Linked DNA regions of Oryzias latipes. The protein of the gene in region 2 binds, or shares a complex with, the protein of the main gene of each other region. Links are inferred from orthologs where the notes say so. Each region holds a gene or a part of one and is shown on either strand. Other genes may lie near its edges. The genes, in order: eaf1, cdk9 and ELL-associated factor 2.

The links.
Region 1: cdk9 (region 2) and eaf1 share a complex: the UniProt entries of both Homo sapiens proteins name them as parts of the super elongation complex. The link is inferred for Oryzias latipes from reciprocal best matches to the Homo sapiens genes CDK9 and EAF1.
Region 3: cdk9 (region 2) and ELL-associated factor 2 share a complex: the UniProt entries of both Homo sapiens proteins name them as parts of the super elongation complex. The link is inferred for Oryzias latipes from reciprocal best matches to the Homo sapiens genes CDK9 and EAF2.

Annotation. Positions count from the first base shown.
Region 1 is NC_019874.2:26,172,686-26,176,988, forward strand, and holds the start of eaf1 (ELL-associated factor 1), read right to left. Parts: upstream 2,840-4,303; 5' UTR 2,694-2,839; coding exon 2,591-2,693; intron 1,242-2,590; coding exon 1,147-1,241; intron 812-1,146; coding exon 675-811; intron 548-674; coding exon 375-547; intron 216-374; coding exon 1-215. Other genes in the region: mettl6 (methyltransferase-like protein 6), read left to right, coding at 3,289-3,561, 3,955-4,089. UniProt on the Homo sapiens protein: Acts as a transcriptional transactivator of ELL and ELL2 elongation activities.
Region 2 is NC_019870.2:30,294,841-30,297,572, forward strand, and holds the end of cdk9 (cyclin-dependent kinase 9), read right to left. Parts: intron 1,415-2,732; coding exon 1,266-1,414; intron 1,198-1,265; coding exon 832-1,197; 3' UTR 626-831; downstream 1-625. UniProt on the Homo sapiens protein: Protein kinase involved in the regulation of transcription.
Region 3 is NC_019879.2:4,940,220-4,943,873, reverse strand, and holds part of ELL-associated factor 2, read left to right. Parts: intron 1-773; coding exon 774-910; intron 911-2,683; coding exon 2,684-2,859; intron 2,860-2,999; coding exon 3,000-3,236; intron 3,237-3,654. UniProt on the Homo sapiens protein: Acts as a transcriptional transactivator of TCEA1 elongation activity. Acts as a transcriptional transactivator of ELL and ELL2 elongation activities. Potent inducer of apoptosis in prostatic and non-prostatic cell lines.

The DNA.
Region 1 (4,303 bases), on a different chromosome or scaffold from region 2:
GTTCATGAGCTGGTTGTTGCCCTGCTGGCGCTCCATCCCTCCGTTGGCCATGGGGTTGCGGCTGGGGGAGTTCTGGCTGAGCGGCCGGGGAGCATCGCCCTCGCCGTCGCTGCTGCTGCTGTCGTCGCCGCTCCCCGAGGAGCTGGCTGAGTCTGAGGAGCTGCTGCTGCCGCTGCTGCTCATCTGTTCAATCATCTCCACCTCTGCCCGCAGCTCTGTCGACAGCAGCAAGATCAGCATTTCATATTTCAAGGTCTTGTCTTTTTTTGTACTCACATTTGTCCAAATGTTTTTCATTCTTTGTCATCTTTAGCAGGGTTTTTTCTGAGAAATCATGACTTTGTAAAACACCAACAGTGCAGGAACCTCCTCACCTCTCTTAATGTCGTCCAGCTGAGGCTCTGGAGAGGGGTTGTCCTTAGATGGGGATGGGGATGTTTTGATCCCAGTTCCCGGCTTGGTTGGGGCTCGGAACTGAGAGCCGGGCTGGCTGGAACGAACCGACTGCTGCTCAATCCGAGCCTGGATCTTACTGCTGCCCTCCGCTCTGTTCGCACAGATACATACATCAGCCAACTTTTCCTCATCTTGAGCAATTTAAAGATCTTATAGACAATACACATCTACTACCCAAAGTCAGCAGGACTCTGGAAACCAGGACACTGACATCCCACCTTGTTTTCTTAACCTGGATGCTGCTGCTGAGCTTCTCCAGTACAAATTCGCCCGTGTCATGATTAATGATGAGCACGCAATCCTTTTGATACGGTCGCTTGTTTCCTTTAAATACTGTCATTGGAGGTGTGGAGCCCTGAAAGACAAAGAACAGGTAGTTGCAGTTTTATGTATTTAAAGCTTGGAAAAGGGCCCTTTTAGAAGGTTACATCAAAATCAAAAAAACTACATCATCTTGTTCAAGAGCAGTGTTATAGTGAAGATAAACAGACTTTTTCAGTCACAATTCTAGGATACATTCAGAACATAATTTTTTTAGACACATGATTGCTTAGATTTTTTGACTGCACTGTGACTGATCAAAACAGCTGTCAGACCTTTTTGTGACAGAAAACATGAGTCAGCAGAGATCAGGCAGATCATGATGTGCATGCATCTCTGACCAGATTGTTAAAAAGAGGAAAGCCTTACTGGAATATGAGGTAACGTTATTGTAACTTCATCTCCTTTTCCGACCTGTAGCTTCCCTTCACAGCTGGTGTCAATCGATGCTGGTTTGAAGTCATCTGGAAATGAAATGTATCGAGTCAAATTTGTGTTCTCCCTGATTGCCTATTTTTTTATTTAGAGGGAAACACCGTGAACTGGCATTCACACATATATGGAATTATAATTACAGTTGGAGAATAACTACCTGGAAGGGAAAAACAACCAAAATACAAAAAAGCAATTACAGTAATTTCATACTAGCATAAGATGAAAAAAATAATGTGGGTTGTTTTCCCTGGCTGCATTTGTAATTCTATCAACTATAATAAATGAGATAAAATGCTAATTTAATACAGATAATTTTTTGTTCTGTACAAAACAAATTGAATATGTTTTATAACACTATAAATCAATTGCATTCAAAGTTTGAATTTAACATGACCACTTTCTCCGGAGAATGCCCCAAGGTGACTTTTACTGAGATCTAAAAGTGAACTAATGAGTAAATGGAATACTGTGACGCGGGGAGGTCAGTGTTTAAAATAGGACATCACATGCATCATAAAACCCTTTTACTACAACAGCTCTGTAACACGGATGGTTTCTCTCCCAAGTCCAGCCAAAGTCTATTTTGACACACAAGTTCAAAATACAACACAGGCTTTGACTCAAAGCAATTGAATCGTTTCTTTTTTTTGCATTTCTATTTTAATTTTTGTTTACATTTTTCAAACTGTCTTCACATAACTGGTCATGGAAACAATATGATTGAACCTGAGTGAATAACAGTATGAATTTTTTTAATAAAAGTAAACAGAAAAGCTTTTTAGTGTAAATAAAATGCAATTCCAAGCCTAGGCGTCACAATAAAAGTGTTTTGGTATCAATAATAAATCCTATATTGTGAAACATCTACTTCAAACATCTACTTCAATAAAGCAACACGAATCCTCTGAGAAAAACTGGATATCTCTAAATACCACACTGAACAAGAAACACGATGAAGACTATAAACCGTTGTCCCTGCATCCAGTTGTTTTATTCAGCATTTATGCCCCAACAATCCAGATTGTGTTTATTACAACAGATAGGATCTGCATTTTATTTTGAAGGAGAATTTCAATTGCCACTCCATGTGGAGCTGGAGGCTAAAAAATGAGTCCTGGTTGGAGGCAAATATAAAAAACTTGTTTCTCACAAAAAATTAGATAAACTTTGGTGTAGTAAAATAAGTATTGGGTAGTTAATAGCATAAAGTGTAAAAGCTCAACCAAAAAAACAAACTGCTTTTATCTTCAAATGACTGAAAAGTATTGAAGAGAGTCTTGGAGAGAGAGCCTCTACATTTACAGCAGATAACCAGCCGCACTCCAGAGTTTGTTAAGAACTTAAAGGTCTTGTAAACACAACGCGGTCTCACGCTCACATCGGATGGTGTGAAAGGAAGATTTTGGCCTCTTCTCAAAGCTTTCTCCGAGCTTCAAAACATGCTCCTCTTTGTCCAGCAGCGGGTTTGTACTACCGTTCATGGTTCAGTTTGTCTAAAAGTCTAACATTTACGTATATTGGTAATAAGAAGTGAGCTAACAGTCGCAACTGGGAAGAAACAGGATAATCCAACTGGAAGATAAAACTAGCTGCAGAAGCTAACAGTTAGCAAAACATCCCTGACGTCACTGTGCTCTCTTTTGATTTTGGTTCGACTATGAACTACCTCTAAGATCAGACGGCGGCAAAAACTGTGATAAAACTTGGTTGTCTTATTAAATGATAATTTGCATTTAGATTAGTTTTTTATCAAACAGAATTATTTTAGTACATTTTAGTTTCATAAACAATTTATATAAAAAGCCAGATGGCAACGCGGAATGCAATTACGTGCACTCATCGGAAGGATTTCGTGAACGTACACAACAGAGGAAATGAAAAGAATTGTTTGAAATTGAAGTAGGGTTTTTTATTGTAGATTTAGCTTATTCAACCTTTTATTTTATATTGTTTTATTGAAAACGTAATAAACTGCATAAATGTTCAGGAATAACAACTGAAAATGTCGTAAATTAATGACTTTGTACAAAGAAAGACGGAAAAAAATCTCCAAAAACTTTAAAGCAGCGTGGAAATATGATGAACCGAGCCGAAGATACCGAGTCTACGGACGACACACCAACATGCCTGTCCGGACAAACGAAAACATCTTCCTCCAGAGATTTAACCCAGGAGGAGCAGGGTAGATTCAAAACTGAGCGAGTTCTTGTATCTGAGTTCAAACAAATAAAACTGGAGAAAGAAGCTCGAAAAAACTGGGACTTGTTTTACAAAAGAAACGCCACAAATTTCTTCAAAGACAGACACTGGACAACCAGGGAATTTGAAGAACTCAAAGAGTGTCGTGAGGTAAGATTACTTTTATACATGGACTTACCAGTCTTCATCTGTTTCTATTTCTTGTTTTATACTCACAAAATAAATAATCTTCTATTTAACATGTAGAACATTCTATCTATCAAATAGGGATTTCTTTCTTCTTCTTCAGATTATTTATAAATGTTAAATTATCTAGTAATTACGCCATTTTTTAAAACCCTAAATCATATATTAATTAATAAATTAAAATATATTAATATGAATAATATATTCACATTAATTACTTAAATGTAATATTAAAATATTAAACTATACTCTATTTATGCTTCTTTAAAGTTTAAGATGCTGAAAAATATTGTAGGTCAGATGGCCAAACAAGCTTATTAAACTAATGTCCAGTTATTCTTGTGCTTTGCTTCACAGTTTGAGTCCCAGAAGTTGGTTTTGTTGGAAGCTGGCTGCGGCGTGGGAAACTGCCTCTTTCCTTTGCTGGAGGACGACCTCAACATATTTGTTTACGCCTGTGACTTCTCCCCACGAGCTGTTGAGTTTGTAAAAGTGAGGCATTTCCCACAACAACTTTGTTCTTATTATAATGTCTTTATAAGCCTTGTCCTATATTTTCTTCCCTTTTTTCCTCCTTTATATTGCTTCATTTTAGAAAGTTTTTTTATTTGAACTTATGTAAAACTGAGTACCAAAGTATTTTCTTTATTTTGTAAATATCACACAAATTGTCACTAAAGATGTTAATTTTTTCATCTGTAGAAGT
Region 2 (2,732 bases):
GTGGTCACCTCCTGTTCTGTCCTTCGTCCTGGGAACAGATGTTCCAGTGTCGACCCTCGTCTTCTTCCGGTCTCTGAATCCAACGCCGCCGCAGCAGATCTCTGACCGACCTCACTCAGGAAGCCTTTTCCTGCAGCCGGTGGGTCTGCTGAGCAGCCCTTAGACTGAACAGCCTCTGCTCTGTCCGTCCTCTCAGGTTTGTGGCTTTGCTCTTCCGTGCACACGTCCATCCATGATGGAATAAAGACGTCGCGTTCTGATGCCGTCACGCTAAACGGTCTCATCAGAATCCAGCCGGGAATACACAGACCTACAACGGTCCTGTACTGCGGTCTGGCTCAGTCAACCGTTTTCCGGGTCGTTGGACCCAATTACCTTCAGGGGTTTCCATGTTTACGTGCTTCCACATGTAAACAAACACGTTAGTTTTCCTTCTGGCTCAATTGTAGAACATGCCACAAACCATGAATCCAGGTAGCTCCTCCCCCTCCTAAACATCCCAAAGGAACAATGACGGCGTTTAAGTCAAAAGCTCAGAGGGTTTAGTGTCTGCGGCTCTCATCGTCACTTCCTCTCTAACCGACTCACACAAGTAAAAACCACTTTCCTGCTTTGCATTCAGACGTTTCCATAAATGTTCACGATTGTGTTGCTTTATTACAAAGAACATTTGAATGAAAACAATCAGTTCAACTGAAAAAGCTACCAGATTCTGGATAAAGGAGCATTTCTGTCCGTTTCATTCCTGATCCCATAAAACCTGAACGTTTGATCATAACTGGCCTCACAGCAGAGTCTCCGGTCAAACTCGGTCCAAGACGTCCAGTGGGGCTAAAAGACTCGGTCGAACTCCGTCTGACTGGTCGTGGCCGGGTTTCGGTTCTGGTTGGGCTGCTGTTGGGGGATGTGCCCCCTCCGTCTGGGCGGGGCCAGGTACTCAAACATGGACGTGTTGTGAGTGGACAGCATGTTCTTGAGGTCTGAGGGCATGGGGTCGGACCAGAAGAAGTCGTGGTTCAGGGCGTCGTCGCTGTCTATGCGCTGAGCCGGGTCCAGAACCAGCAGCTTGTCGATGAGATCCAGGGCGTAGGCGTCCTTCACGTAGGCTTTGAGGCGGTCCTTGACCTTCCTCTTCTGGCCTTTGGGAAGCTCCATTTTCTGGTACAGTTCATACTTTTTGTCCACGCCGGGCCACACCTGGAGAAACAGAAATGATTGACAGCGAGCTGCTGCAACGCAGAGCCCCGCCCCCAAAGACCACTCGCCTCTGCAGTGATGGAGCCACACAGCTGGCTGATCAGGGTGAGCTGGTGCTGCTCCGTGTTGCCTTGCATGATGGGACTTCTGGTCCACATCTCCGCCATGATGCAGCCCGCCCCCCACAGATCGATGGGGGGGCCGTAGTCGCGCTCCCCTGCAGGGAAGGAGAACAGGAACGCGATTGGTTTCCTGTTGAAGCCGTCTGCTTCTCGACTCGTCAGCCTCTAAAGACCCGTTTCCCTGACGACCACGACGTTTTCAGCCATGTAACCTGAAACCCGCGTCGTTTTCCGGAACCGTTTCTGCAGGAGTCGGGGCCGCAAAAAGGGGCCATGCAGCATCTGGGTCGCATAGGAGCCCCAAACCAGAGCTGTGAAAAGTATTTACAGTCCGCATTTTTTAATTTTACAGCTGTGCACATATATTTACATGATCAGTGACAGACACTCCTCATGTCTGGAAGACGACATTTCTATTAGGTCTGGTTCTTCTTGTAACAAGTTCAAATGTAGAAACCGATCTACGTCTGAAGTACTGAAGCAGAAAGTGTCCGTTAAAACCTTTTGGTTCTCTTGTTTCTTCACTCCCAGCTCAGTCAATCCTCCATTCTGGCCCCAAACCCTGAATCCAGTCACGTCACTTTTTAAAAAAAATCATTTCACAAATGAACGACTGGAGTCGCGTCGTCACCACGCATAATATTACTACTAAACACTCTCCATAGTACTGCTTCACAGTGATACAGCACAAGATGGTTACCGGTCCATAAACGCACAGGAAGCTTTAGGCTCCAACATGTGTCACGGATAACCGGATGAATAACCGGACCTCTTGGTGTCGTTGACCCGGATCTGTTTTCTAGACTGCAACGCTGGATTTCTACCAGACATCCTGAAACACTGAGCCGTGTCCAAACACGGCTTTTATTTCTGATCCCCGATCCACACGGATCCCTGCCATGGTCCGGCACACGCGTGTACAGTGGCGTTCAGCGGTACCGCCGTGACCCAGTTTGAAGGCTTGTTGTCCTGGCGCCGTGGCGGGACAAAGACGCTGCTGTCTGTCCCAGTGCGACGGGCTGGTAGCAGCAGGGAAGGTGGTAAAGCCGGACATCGTTGCTCCGTTTTTAAATATTCTTTTGTCGTTTCCCAGATGAACCAGAAGACTTCCTGGATCTGGGTGGTTTTTTACAATGGGAATATCGTGAGTTCAAAGGTCGGTAATGTTTAATAAATAGACCTCGATGAACAAATGCTTGGATGTGATGTGTGTACAAGTACTTAAATATATACTATGAAGGCTTTTTTCTTGTCGTTTGGTCCCATCTTTCTTTTTTTGCTGATCTGCTGCAGATTTACTTTCCAACAACATAAATGTGAAATCACCAAGACAACAGCAGGAATGTTCCGTTTTTGCACAAAGCCCTGAAAGACGACATTCTAATGTTTAAATTCCACGTTTCCAGCGTTCCT
Region 3 (3,654 bases), on a different chromosome or scaffold from region 2:
AGTAATCCTTAGATCGTATGTATACATTTAATGCCCTTTGACTGTACACTTAAAAGAAAAATAGTACTGAAAAAAAAACAAGGATAGATGTACTAGACCCCCTCTAGTACATCTATCCTTGTTTTTTTTTCAGTACTATTATTGTCAGCGATTGTGACACAGTCACCAAATTCTCAGTATTTGTTTGTGAATAACCTGGATGTAGCCGTAGTCTAAAAAATCTTGGATTCTAGGCATCATCTACTTGACGGTGAAGATGCACGGCATCTGGAGGTGGCTGTATTGGTGCTTTTTTTTTTTTTAAGGGCCTAACAGTAGCCACCATACTTTAAACCACTGTCTGGTCCATGTCGGTCTATCCAAAACACATCTTTGTAACAAAAATTGGCACTTTTTTAGCTTCAAGGTCTTCAATTTGGGCTGAGTGGTAACTTGATTGGAGTCATTCTGGTCTAAAACAAATCTACTGCCATATTCCTTAATGGTTGTTTGCTGCATTAGGCTCATTTTGATGTCAAATAACAGCATAAAGGGCCAAACGTCGTAAATAATAAGCTTCATATAAAACGATCGCTATTTGCTATCATCTAGAATGAAGGTACCGTCACACCGCTCAGCCCTACATACATCCACTTTCAGTAGCTGCTTTGTCCCGGGCAGGGTTTTGTGTGTTGCTGGAGCCTATCCCAACTTTTTTAATGACAAAGCCAGGGTACGTCCTGGATAGGTCACCAGTCTAAACACACTCTTCTTGCCGAAATTTCTCTTTTTAGGGGTCAAGTGCTCCAGTAACAGTCTTCAAGGGATCCAAGAGGCCATACATGAAGGAGTGCATCCTCATTGTGAACCACGATACAGGAGAGTATAGACTGGAGAAACTCAACAGCAACATAGCTGTGAAGAAGACCAGGTGAAAAACAAACTAAGTTACGTTTTTAATGAAGTCATGTCTTTTTTTTTACATCCTCGTACACCAAATTTCCCAAAGCCCTGTTGAAAATAAAGTTTTTCAACATTTGTTAAGTTGGTTGTTGGTTGCTGGTATGTGTTGCCCTCAGCGGTGCTGTGTAAATATACTAGAGATTGCCCGTTTGACCCGGACGCGTCGGCGCTTGTTTCACCTTTCACTTGCGTTTGAACAGTTGCTATTCTCTATAAAAACAAATAAATCCCAAGCAACGTTTCCCAACCAGTTCTGTTGTTTCCCCTGTATCGGAGTCAACGTCAGTTCATGGCACTTTGCCATGGCTCCTGGTAAAAAACGTTCTGTGGCTTGGGATCATTTCAACTTAGTTTCTCCTAATAAGGCAATACACTATTAACAAGGGGTTTAACGGTACACGTAGTTGTACCGAACCGTTTCAGTACGGCAATTTTGGTTCGGTTCACTTTTGTACCGTTTTGGAGGGGGGGTTGTTTTTGTTTTTTACCCCCCCCTCCCCAAATGTTTTCACTTTGCGCTGAGGCGGAACTAATGTTAACCGCGAGTTTCCGCCAAGACGCCATGTTGTGGAATGAGTGTGCCGGTGTGTCTGCGCTCGCGTGGTCAGGAAGGAGGGGATCAGCGTAAGAGAGTGTGTGAGCTCGCGTTCAGGGTGTGTTGCTCAGTTCTGCGGAACAGTAATAAAAAAGGTTTCCTCCAAAAGAACGAAGACTGGTTCATTTATTGACCCGCCCTGGAGGCTCTGAGGGTCCGAACGGGGAAGTGAACCCTGAAGGACGATCCGCCATCATCCCCGGAGAGGACCTCCCCTGCATTTTCCGACCACGGTCAGAAACCTTATCGCAGGAAAGGTTCAACGGCGATTAGGTGACTGAGGTGACAGTTAGCATGTCAACATATGGCTAATGCAGGCGCGAGGCCAGAGCTTGAGGACCCCCCCATCTCCTTACGCTCTCCTGAGTGGGAACACTTGGCTTTGTTGTCAGCATCCATGAAGGGAAAAGACAGTTGGATATGTCGAATGCTGTGTGTCAACATTGTTACACAAAGATAGCGTATGCCACAGTAACACATCTAATCCGTTAACAAACTTAAAACGGCATCACCGAACTGTAACAATCAGGTCTACAAGAAGAAAAAATGTGCAAGTTAAAATGTATCCAAAGTTTGTGGTTTCCTGAGTTGTATTATTTTATATAGCAGATCACCTACATAGGTCGATTTTATTTATTGTTATATAAAACCAATAAATGCATTTTGTAAGTAATTTTTTTCTGCCTTTTTTTACCGAAAAAATACCATAAATGTACCGAAATGAGCCCCATGAAATTCTGAACCTGATGTTTGTTTTGCAGAGTCAAGAAAGCACTTCTCACAGAAATCCTCACACATTGTGTTGTTTTATGTTTTGTTTTTTTAAATTATAATTTCCACATTGAAGCGTTACAAGGAGCTTAGTTGAAGCAGATGATATACGTTCAATCCGCCACTAGATGCCGCTGTTCAGTGTGGTTTCAAAGCCCTGAATGGTTGTTTCATTTTTCCAGCACAATTACATGAGCCCTGTGAAAGCTTCGTGGAGCTTCTACTCTCATCCCTAAAATAAACTGAACTGGATTGATGAAGTTTCCATGTTGACTTGTTTAGACATTTGCAGCTTAAAAATATAAAGTGTGGGTTGTAAACTTGTCAACAACAACTCAATCCTTCCTTCTCCGTCTCATGTGCATGGATCTCCAGGGCTGAGGGCAGCAGCAAAATTCACTCTCGCCTGGAGCAGCAGACCAGTCGCCTTAGCCAACAGGTGAAGAGCACCACCACCACCAGCAGCAGTAGTAAGACCTCTACCAGCTCGAAGAGCTCTCCTGTCAAAGAAAAGACCTCTCCGGCGTCTCCCATGGATGACATTGAGAGAGGTAACAAGTTGTCAAATATGTTTTCCAGACATTTTTTCTGCTTGGACTAAGTTGTTCTGATGATTAAAATCACCATTTTTTGTCTGCTAAGTATATAATAACATCTGCATGGATTTCTGTCCTTGCTACTCACTGTGCAGAATTAATGGCAGAGGCGCGGGTCATGGACCAGCTGAGCAGCGGCGGCAGCTCCTCGGACTCCAACAGCTCGTCATCCTCCAGCAGCGAGGAAAGCTCCAGCAGCAGCGACTCGGAGGGCGAACAGGCTCGTGCACCGCCCTCAGCACCTCCTAACCAGAGCATGCCCATCATCACCACCAGCTCCAACAAACCCAGCCACCATCAGGAAAGCGGAGGGGGAATTATGAACACTCTAAGTAAGTACCCCAGTCGTTTAATGCTATCACAACCCATTACATGCCGAGGAATCATTAAGACAACCTTCATTTGTGAAGTCGTGGTCTCTGCTGTTTCTTGCGAAACATTCTAAATTCTAACGCTACCAATGCTCAAATGGCGGAGATGTGAGGAGGAAAGCAGCAAGGTGGATACAATATTGTCCGTTGGAACTTCCATGAAGGCAGACTTTTCTGCAAGGTTTGACAAACTGTTAATGGCAGTCGAAGACATAAAAAGGGAACTGAGTGATTGCGCTGAACGAGTGACGCAAACGGAGGTGCACATTTCCAAAACGGAAGATGACATCAGCGTTTTGCAGGCCAAGGTGAGCGCACTGGAAACAAAAGAAAAAGCTCTGGAGGACAAAGTCACGGATTCGGGGATTTGGGCACACAC